Linked DNA regions of Oryctolagus cuniculus. The protein of the gene in region 2 interacts with the protein of the main gene of each other region in a pairwise test. Links are inferred from orthologs where the notes say so. Each region holds a gene or a part of one and is shown on either strand. Other genes may lie near its edges.

The links.
Region 1: the proteins of FOSL1 (region 2) and USF1 interact in binary tests that used the Homo sapiens proteins (3 or more experiments, as listed by UniProt). The link is inferred for Oryctolagus cuniculus from reciprocal best matches to the Homo sapiens genes FOSL1 and USF1.

The regions. Positions count from the first base shown.
Region 1 is NC_091438.1:37,751,237-37,755,826, forward strand, and holds the start of USF1 (upstream stimulatory factor 1), read left to right. Parts: upstream 1-1,687; 5' UTR 1,688-1,833; intron 1,834-2,157; exon of another isoform or gene 2,158-2,182; intron 2,183-2,375; exon of another isoform or gene 2,376-2,568; intron 2,569-3,680; 5' UTR 3,681-3,765; coding exon 3,766-3,773; intron 3,774-4,152; coding exon 4,153-4,202; intron 4,203-4,357; coding exon 4,358-4,473; intron 4,474-4,590. Other genes in the region: ARHGAP30 (rho GTPase-activating protein 30), read left to right, coding at 1-15.
Region 2 is NC_091432.1:5,874,655-5,879,137, reverse strand, and holds the start of FOSL1 (fos-related antigen 1), read right to left. Parts: upstream 2,909-4,483; coding exon 2,753-2,908; intron 787-2,752; coding exon 589-786; intron 1-588.

The DNA.
Region 1 (4,590 bases), on a different chromosome or scaffold from region 2:
GGTGAGAGACTGTGATTAGGACCAGAACATTGGGCCAAAGGGACCAGGAAATTGTCTGGAATCTTTGGGGTCCCTGGCTAGCTGTCTCTTCTGTAGCCTGAGCAGCTGTAGTGCCCCACTCTATGGAACTTTGGTCCTCCAGCTTCTGTTTCTGACTGTGGGAGGCACTTTCTCAGCTGGTATACCTGAGCTCGTCTCAGACTTAGAGCACTTACTTATCTCTCAGGAGATTTTCCAAAAAAGTCACCAAGATCCTGTTCCCAGGGAGTAGCGTCATTGGCCAAGGGGAACATAACGTTAGGCAGAAAATTTAAGAAGTTTCTCAAAGCGAAGAATGGAGGGGGAATTCCAGACAAGTTCCTGCTCTCCTCGGAGGCTTCTTTATAGAAGCCCAAGACAGAGGTGAGGACTGGGTCAGCTCAGAGCTTCTCCCTCCGCCCCCCCCTTTCTCACACACACACACACACACACACACACTAGTTGTCCATCCCTACATCCTTGGATACTTCCCGATCCTCTTAGCTCCATATTAGCAGTATGTCCAGGAAGTTCTTTGAAGTCCTCAGTGTTTGAAAGATGGCCTGGACCCCTCCCTTCCCCTCCATCTGCCTCTCCGTATATTACAGGGGAAAGGTCTTGTGCACATCTCTCTGGCCGTTCCTTTTTCCTTTGGAATAATGCCCTCCTGTTTCAGAAAATGGGGATGGCCTCACTCAGGTTCTTGGGACTGCTTCTCCAGACAGGTGGAGGGCACAGGTCTCACTCTAGAAGGGGTTGGTATTGCAGAATAAAAGTTGTATTTTTACACATAAACAGTGTGGAGTCTCATTATTCTGACTAAAACCTTGGGTGATAGGTATCACATTTTCATATATTTGGCCAAACTTTTTTTTCCCCTACTTTGTTCAGGGCTGTTTCTCAGTTGTCATGGAGACTAGGCTAAAAACTAGAGCTGGGGTCAGCGGTGGTCAGGAAATGGGGAAGAGAAACTTGTATTTACATAATGTTCATTATGTGCCAGGAACCGGGCTGGGTAGTCTTGTGTATTAATTCCACTTAGCAATTCTGTAAGGTAGGTACACATAGGTGGCTCCATCTTACGGATGAGGAAACTAAGGCTCAATTAAGTAAAAATGCTTGTAAGATCCCAGCGGTAATAAGTAGAAGAGATGGATTTGAGAACCAGGTTTAAATGGCCTGGTTTCTTAATTTTTCCCATTATACCATCCTACTCCAAACCTATTAGGAAGAATGGGAATCAATCCTCTCGCAAAATGTAAGCCTCGGGTGAGTGACTAGCGACGCTAACAGAAAGGAGGTATGCTCAGATCTATCTATTTATGCCCTGAGATGTCTCCATCTCCTGTAGGAAACCCTTAAAAAAATTGCCCTTATCCAAGATGGCCTCCCAAATAGCCCTTGTTAAAGATGGCGCCTCCGTCTGGCGGCCCTCCTTGATCCCCGCCTGCCGCCCCATTCCCTTTTCCCGGAATCAAAAAAGCTCTGCCAAGCACAGAGATGGCAGCACACGCTAGCCGCCCTTCTCCCGCTCCCGCCCTAAGTGGCCAGGCCTCGAGCGACATTCGCCAGCAGTACCCCTCCGAGCGTGTCCCCACGCTCCCATCCCTCCAGCCCTCAGCAAGATGGAGCGAGCGGAAGTGGAGCGGCTCAGGGGCTGTAAGTGGGCGGGGCGGGTCGAGAGAGACACTTCCGCCCCTCACCAACATGGCCCAGGGCCGGCAGTGCGCATGAGCAGCTGTCTATGGAGAGACTCGGGTCGGGAGAGGGAGAACACGGTCGGGGGGAAATCGGCGGCTGAGACGGCCTGGGCCGGTGAGTGCAGGGCCACACGGCAGTGTGGAGACTGGATGGGTCGGCAAGGCGGGGCCGCTTTGATTTAGTTTCCGTTTTTCAGGATGGGAAACTCTTGGGGGAGGAAGCCTTTGTTTTGGGGGAGGGGACCGTGCCTGGTTCTTTTATTTGCTATCCCGCTTTGTGGGCCAAACCCGCTCCCCGCCCTCCTGCGCTGTCCGGCCGCGGGGCTGCGGCTGCGGGCCCCCGAGCTCCCGGCGCCCCTTCCCTGCCTGCTCTGCGAAGCAGCCGCGGCGCGGGGCGAACGCGGCTGGGCTGGCCGGGTCACGGCGCGGGCTCCGGGGCGCGCGCCTGGCGGGCGCTCAGCTCGGTGAGCGCCTGCTGCTCGGTGGGCCTTCGGGGAGACGCCTTGTTCTCAGGCCTGGTTTCTTTCCAGGCTGCATCCCCCACCCCCACCCCGCTTTGTGTCCAGACTCGGCCAGGGGTCTCGCTGGGCCCTCGTTTGCCTGAGCGTGCACAGCGCAACATCCTATCCCGGTTCCCGTGTCTCCCATCTCCCGAAGGCTCAGGAAATGCTTCCGGATGTCCAGCGCGGGGTTGAAGAAGTAGCGCGACCCCGCTGCGGGGTGTCCTCGGAGACCGCCCTTGGCTGACAGCTGTGGGCGATAGAGGCGCCTCCTACTCCCTGCCTTCTCTTTCATTGCTTCCTCCTGCAGTCGGCGCGACGAGCCTCGGAGGGGCACTTTTCCCACTCAGGTTGGAGGATGGAGACCTGGGTGGTCCCAAAACACCAGGGCTACTTCTCCTGCGGGGCTGGGATCTCCTTGCAACATTACTTCCTTCGGACAGTTTCGCTTTCAGTTCCTTTTTGTTGTTGTTGTTGTTGCCATTTTCCTTGGCCACGGGCTCTCCAGGGCTTCTCCGCTGAGGATATTTCCTGGGATAGAAAAGGCCAGGAGAAACTCACGGATGCAGAATTTACAGAAATCTTGCCCCTTTCGTGTTGGGATTATTTTACTGCTTTGTACCGGCTGTTTCTTTTCGGCATCTGCCCGCTTAGCCCTTTGTTTTTTTCTGTCGTCTGGCTGCATGTCAGGGTCCTAAGGCAGGCACCTCCTAGATGGGTTCCTCCTCCATTGTCTCTTCTTCGGAAGCCTAAGCCTGGGCTTTTTTTTTTTTTTTTCTTTCCCTCCTTAGTGAGGCTCAGTTGATTTGGAGTTGTCATGGCAACGTTTTAGCAACTGTGTTGTTCTACAGGAAGGCTTAATGAATAATAATAAAGAAGGCTTGAAGCTAGTGCACTTGGATGTTAGGTTCTCTAAGGGATGATACCAATCTGGGCACCCCCTGCGCCCAGATAAGAGCCCTTTCAGTAGAGTGGAGCCCAAGGGCCAGGTCTTTGTGGTTAGCATCCGTTTTCCAGTGGTGGTGGGTTCCTGTGTCCCCTCCCTGGATTGAGGCAGCTGGAAGCTGAGAACCTGGAAGAAGCATGACTGTCCATGGCCTTGTGTTTTGGTAATGCTGGTCTCAACATGGCCCTCCCTAATTTCCTTGAAGCTGCTGTTGTGGGAGATCATGATAGCTTTAATAATAATCCTTTGAGAAATGTGTTGTTTCTCAGCCTTCCGGTATAATGACCCCTTCTCCACCAAGAGTCAGGGTGATAATGAAGGGGTGAGGAGCTCGATTTGTAGGGTTGCGTTTTCCAACAGACCGGCCCTCAGCATTGGAATGGGGGAAGCTGGTTGTCCTTTGCAGGTGCAGGTGACTGGGTTCTTTTCCTGGCTGTGTGTTCACGGAGCCTTGATCCCAAGTCTAGGGAGGCTGTTCAGTCCAACACTCACTGCAAACTCCGTGATTTCTACCAGGACTTAGTATTCAGGCCTGTGAATCAGGAGATACGAAGACTCCAAAAAAAGGACCAGTTCCTCGGATGTGCCCCCTCACAGAGAGATGAAGGGGTGAGTAAAGCAGAGGTAGGGTCTGGGGTGAGAGATGGTTGGCCTGGGAGAGCGTCAGACGCTGAGAGCACTGGCTGTGCGGGCAGACAGACCTGGAGTCAGGTCCAGTTCCGTCCCCTACCAGCTGTGTGATCTGGTTTCCCATTTGTAGAATGGAGGTAGTGCCACCTGCCTTATAGTGCTGTTAGTGTTCACTAAGACAGGACATGTTAAATGCTTAGCTTGAAGCCTACATGCATAGTAAGTACTAGTTGTTATTCTCACGTAACCCAGCATCTGTTATGGATGCCAGTGGATTTGGGAGTTCTTTGCCACTGGGCCAGTAGCTTCTCACTCCCTTCTTCCCTTATTCTTTCTTTTGCTCTTTCACCACAAACAGGCAGCAGAAAACAGCTGAAACGGAAGAGGGGACAGTGCAGATTCAGGAAGGTGAGTGTTAAAAATGGAACTGAGAGCCATGATGGCACCTGTCCCTCCACTGGGCCACCTCCCGAGCGCCCTTCCTCCTTCCACGTGTCGTGCAAGTGGAACAGAAGGAGAAAGGCAGTTAACTCAGGGACCTTTCCTTTGCTCTCCTACTTCAGGTGCAGTAGCTACTGGGGAGGACCCAACCAGTGTGGCTATCGCCAGCATCCAGTCAGCTGCCACCTTCCCTGACCCCAACGTCAAGTACGTCTTCCGAACTGAGAATGGGGGCCAGGTAAGGGGAGGAGCCAGGTGGCTGCAGGTGTTACTTGGGATTGGGGTTGAGGGAGGTTTGGAACATGTGTTGGGAAGATGTGGCTTGGAGGATGAGGGGGAAATACGGACTCTTATG
Region 2 (4,483 bases):
GCAGCCTCTACCTGGACCCTTCCCCGAGCGCCCAGGGAGACGTGTGGCCTGGTGGTCACAGCTGGGCAGACCCGGGCCGGTTCTCACTACTGCGTGATCTCGGGCAGGTGCCGGACACCTCCGTGCCTGCACTTCTTGGCTAAGGGATGAGGAGAGGCAGACACGCAGGAGGCAGAGGGTCCATGTCCGAGTTAAATGAGACGGGAAACAGATCCAGGGAGGAACTGAAGGGACCCCTCCCACTGCTGCTGCAGCTGCACTGCCTAAGCCCACCCTCTCCGTGCACGGCAGCCCATGGAGACCCTCTCGCCTTCCCCCCCTCCCCTTTGGCTCCTGCCAGCCCCTGTGCCTGGACTGTCCCTCCCTTCATCTCAGCACGTGCAACCCTGCGCCGCCTCCTCCAGGAAGCTTTCCCTGGTGCAGAGGTGACCTTTTTTGCCCTGCGGGCCTCCCCAGCAGCGCCCATCACCTCCTCCCCGGCAGTGGCCCTTCCTTCCCCGGCCGGTCTGAGCCCATGCTCTCCGCTGTGGCCAGAGCATGCCTTTGGCACACTGGCATGCCTGGGCACCCAGAACCAGCGCCCCTCACCTGTTCGCTGGGCCGGCGACGTGCTCCTGGAGGCGGCCCCAGAGCCTGGATGACTCCTGGCCTGGGCTGTGGGGGGCTGTACTGGGGGTAGGCCAGAGGCCTGGCGTAACTGCCGGGCCCCAGGAAGTGAGGCTGCACCATCCACTGCACCTCCTGGCTGCCACTCACAGCGTTGATGCTGGGCACGAGGTGGAACTTCTGGGGGAGAAGGAACGGAGGGCCAGGGTGAGGTCTGCGTGGCTCAAGGAGGTCCGAGCAGAGAGACTCTCCCGCCGTCCACCCTCCGTGCAGATGCCGGTTCTGGGAGACCAGAAGGAGCCCGGCTTGGCAGCCAGAGACACTGATGGGTGGCAAATCCCTGCTCACGAGCTGTGTGACTGTGGGCAGGGCACACAACCTCTCTGCTCACTGCCAGACACCTTCCTGGCCACAAACACTGACCCATGTGCTTGGCACAGCAGGGGCTCCATTTGCAGAAGCTGGGCTCTCGGCCCCTCCTGTACCCATCCCCCTGGGGGGACAAGGACAGCCCCGGAGCGCCTGCGGTGGCTGCGAGAATGGGGCGAGGGAACGGGGGAGACACTGCTCAGCTCTGCTCAGCCACTGACAGGGGACTCAGCGAGCTATTTCATCCCCGTGTGCCTCAGTTTCCCATTTTGCTGTTATCACAGAGGAGGATCGCAGCATTTCATTGATGCTAAGAAGTCTAGCAGCCGGCGTTGTGGTTGTGGACATAGTGGGTAAAGTCCCTGCCTGCAGTGCCAGCATCCCATACGGGTGCCGGTGCCGGTTCCGGCTGCTCACCTGGGAAAGCAGTGGAAGATGGCCCAAGTGCCTGGGCCCCTGCACCCATGTGGGAGACCCAGAGGAAGCTCCTGGCTTCAGATCAGCTCAGCTCTGGGTGTTGTGGCCATTTGGGGAGTGAACCAGCAGATGGAAGACCTCTTTGTCTCTGCCTCTCTATAACTCTCTTTCAAGTAAATAATTTTCTTAAAAAAAAAAAAAAAAAAAAAAAAAAAAAAAAAAAAAGGAAGTACCAAGCCGGCGTCGCGGCTCACTAGGCTAATCCTCCACCTTGCGGCGCCGGCACACCGGGTTCTAGTCCTGGTCGGGGCGCCGGATTCTGTCCCGGTTGCCCCTCTTCCAGGCCAGCTCTCTGCTGTGGCCAGGGAGTGCAGTGGAGGATGGCCCAAGTACTTGGGCCCTGCACCCCATGGGAGACCAGGATAAGTACCTGGCTCCTGCCATTGGATCAGCGCGGTGCGCCGGCCGCAGCGCGCTGGCCGCGGCAGCCATTGGAGGGTGAACCAACGGCGAAAGGAAGACCTTTCTCTCTCTCTCTTTCTCACTGTCCACTCTGCCTGTCCAAAAAAAAAAAAAAAAAAAAAAAAGGAAGTACCATCTAATAAGCTCTGAAATCAGACACACCAACTTAAACAACTTAGTGACACCAAATAATTGTGGATCTTTTACTCCACGGGGTCTTAGATTCCACGAAATACGGTAACGGAGGTGCCCAGTGCCCAGCGCCCAGCACAAGGCTGGCATGGCTGTCAGTGCTTCCAGTGCTAACTGGGACCCTTCTCTTTCTACCAGAAATCTGAGGACTGGGCTGGGATGGGGGCGCCTTGTTCTGGAAAAACTGGGTTCCAGCCCTCCGGACGGGCCCTGGGTGTGGGCGCCTGGTCGGCCGGGAAGCGCCCCGCAAGCCCAGGCAAGTCCTCGCAGTGCGAGCCCAGCGGCCCAGCGACCCCAGTTCCGGGCCCGCGGCACTGCCGGCGGCGTCCCCAGCTCCGGAGTTTGTCCGGGCCCGGGCCACTCGGGGCCAGGAAGGGAGGGGCGCCGCGGGTGACTCAGCCGCCGTGACTCGGCCGCCGTGACTCGGCGGAACGGACGCCGCGCCTTCCCTCCCCTGGCGACACGTGCTCGCCGCCCCTCGACAGGAAATGGGCACCTGCAGCTCCCCAAGTGCCCCCAGCCTGCAGTGGGCGCCGTTCGGTGCCGAGGGCAGGGGCGCGCGAGCTGTCCCTGGCGTCCGCCCCGGCACCTGGCCCAGTCTCTGTCTGAGTCCTTCCGCCACGGGGTGGACAGCCGGCCACCGGGAGCCCAGAGGGTCCCACCGCCCCGGAGCCCGGCTGCACCGCGCAGAGGAGGGGGCTGGAACCTGACGTCGCGGTAGACGGGGGCGGACACACAGGAGGTCACCGACAGATCCCGCCTTCCTGCTGCGTCCAGGGGTTCCCGACGTATCCCAGGCGCGGGATGCCAAGGGGGAGACGTCTGCTGACCGCCCGGGGCTGGGACATAGCCCGGACGTCATACGTCCCTTCCGAGGCGGGCGGGACGCACAAATGAGCAGTGGACCGCAGGTAAGAAAGAAGGTTCCCGGGAGGGAAGAGCCGGCGGCAGGGAACGAGGGGGCGGGCGCGCGTCCCTCTGGGTTCTGGGGGCAGCTGGCCCCCGGACTGCGGAGAATGGGCAGAACCCGCGGTCCCGGCCCCAGGCTTCGCCGCTTCCACAGCGGGGCGCGCGGGGACTGCCTCCGGGGTCCCAGGCGCCGTCCCCCCGCCCTGTCCCCAGGGACCCCGGTGTGCCTCCCTCTCACCTGCGGGGCCGCCGCCTGCGCCGCGGCGGGGGGCTGCGGGGGGCCTCCGTACGCGCCGCCGGCCCCGGAGCTCGGTCCGGGTTCCCCGAAGTCTCGGTACATGCCCTGGGCTGGCGGCTGCTCCGCGCGGTCCGCGTCGGAGGCTTGCGTTCTGACTCACGCGCACCTCGCGGAGTCTTCGTTTTATGAATGAAAAGTTGTGGGGCTGAGCCGCCGGGACCGCGGGGGGCGGGGCGTGCGCGGCGGCGCGGGTCCCCGCGGGGCTCCACCTCTCCGGACGCGCCGCCCCGTGCCTGGGCGCCCTGGGCGCCTCGACACCGCCCACCGTTCCGGGGGGAAGGGGCCGCCGAGGCGTCCCCCGAGCAGCCGCCGCGCCGGGGCCGCCCCTCTGACGTAGCTGCCCATACATGGTGCGGTTTCCTCGCCGCGCCCAGGTGCGGCCGAGGATTCCCCCGCGGACTTACGCACCTGCCGGGAGCCTGCGAACCCGCTCGACCTGGGCCGGCCTCGGCGAAATAGAACGAAGCCGACGCGTAGCAACCTTGCCACGCCGGGGAGGCTGGGATGAAGAACGTGGACCCGCTGGAAGCCGCCAAATGGATGAGAAAAAAAAAGAAAAAGAAAAAAAAACCACACGTGGTACCTAATTCTGGCTCTCACGATTTGCTGGAGGCCACGTGATGCTCCTCTGCCGCTGCTGTCCCTAGGCTCCAGGGGGTAAATGACAGGCCCCGCCGAAGTGGTGGGGTATCTTAACTCCCCCCCCCCCGCAAAGCAGCTAGCGCTGTGACCGGTCCACAGACAAAATGTATTATTTGGGGCGACCGCAGGAGCGACCACAAGTGTGGATCCAGAGCCCCCGCAGGCAGTGGGCGTCTCTCGCGGGACGCAGGTGTCTTGCGGGCAGCACCCGCTGCGGGCTGGGCGGGGGAGCCAGCCTTGCGTGGAGCGCTATGCAAGATCTGCCATGCTAGCGTCGGGCGTGCTTGGAAGAGAGGGTCAGCCATCACGCCCGGTGTTCCGAGGGGGAAGCCGGGACCGAGAACCGCCCACGGAGGTCACTGAGTGGCCATCGCCGTTAGCCCAGCTCGGCCAGGATTTTCCAAGGCTTCGCAGAGGCAGAATGTCAGTGCCAGGAGGAGCATCCCGACACACATTCCTGGCGTGCTCCCATTGTAGAGATGGGAAGACTGAGGCCGAGAGGGAGAGCGAGCGAGCGAGAGAGAGAGAGTGTGAGCAAGCGAGCGCGCTCGGGGCTGTCAGTGCCACGGAACTGGAGCCGGAGGACTG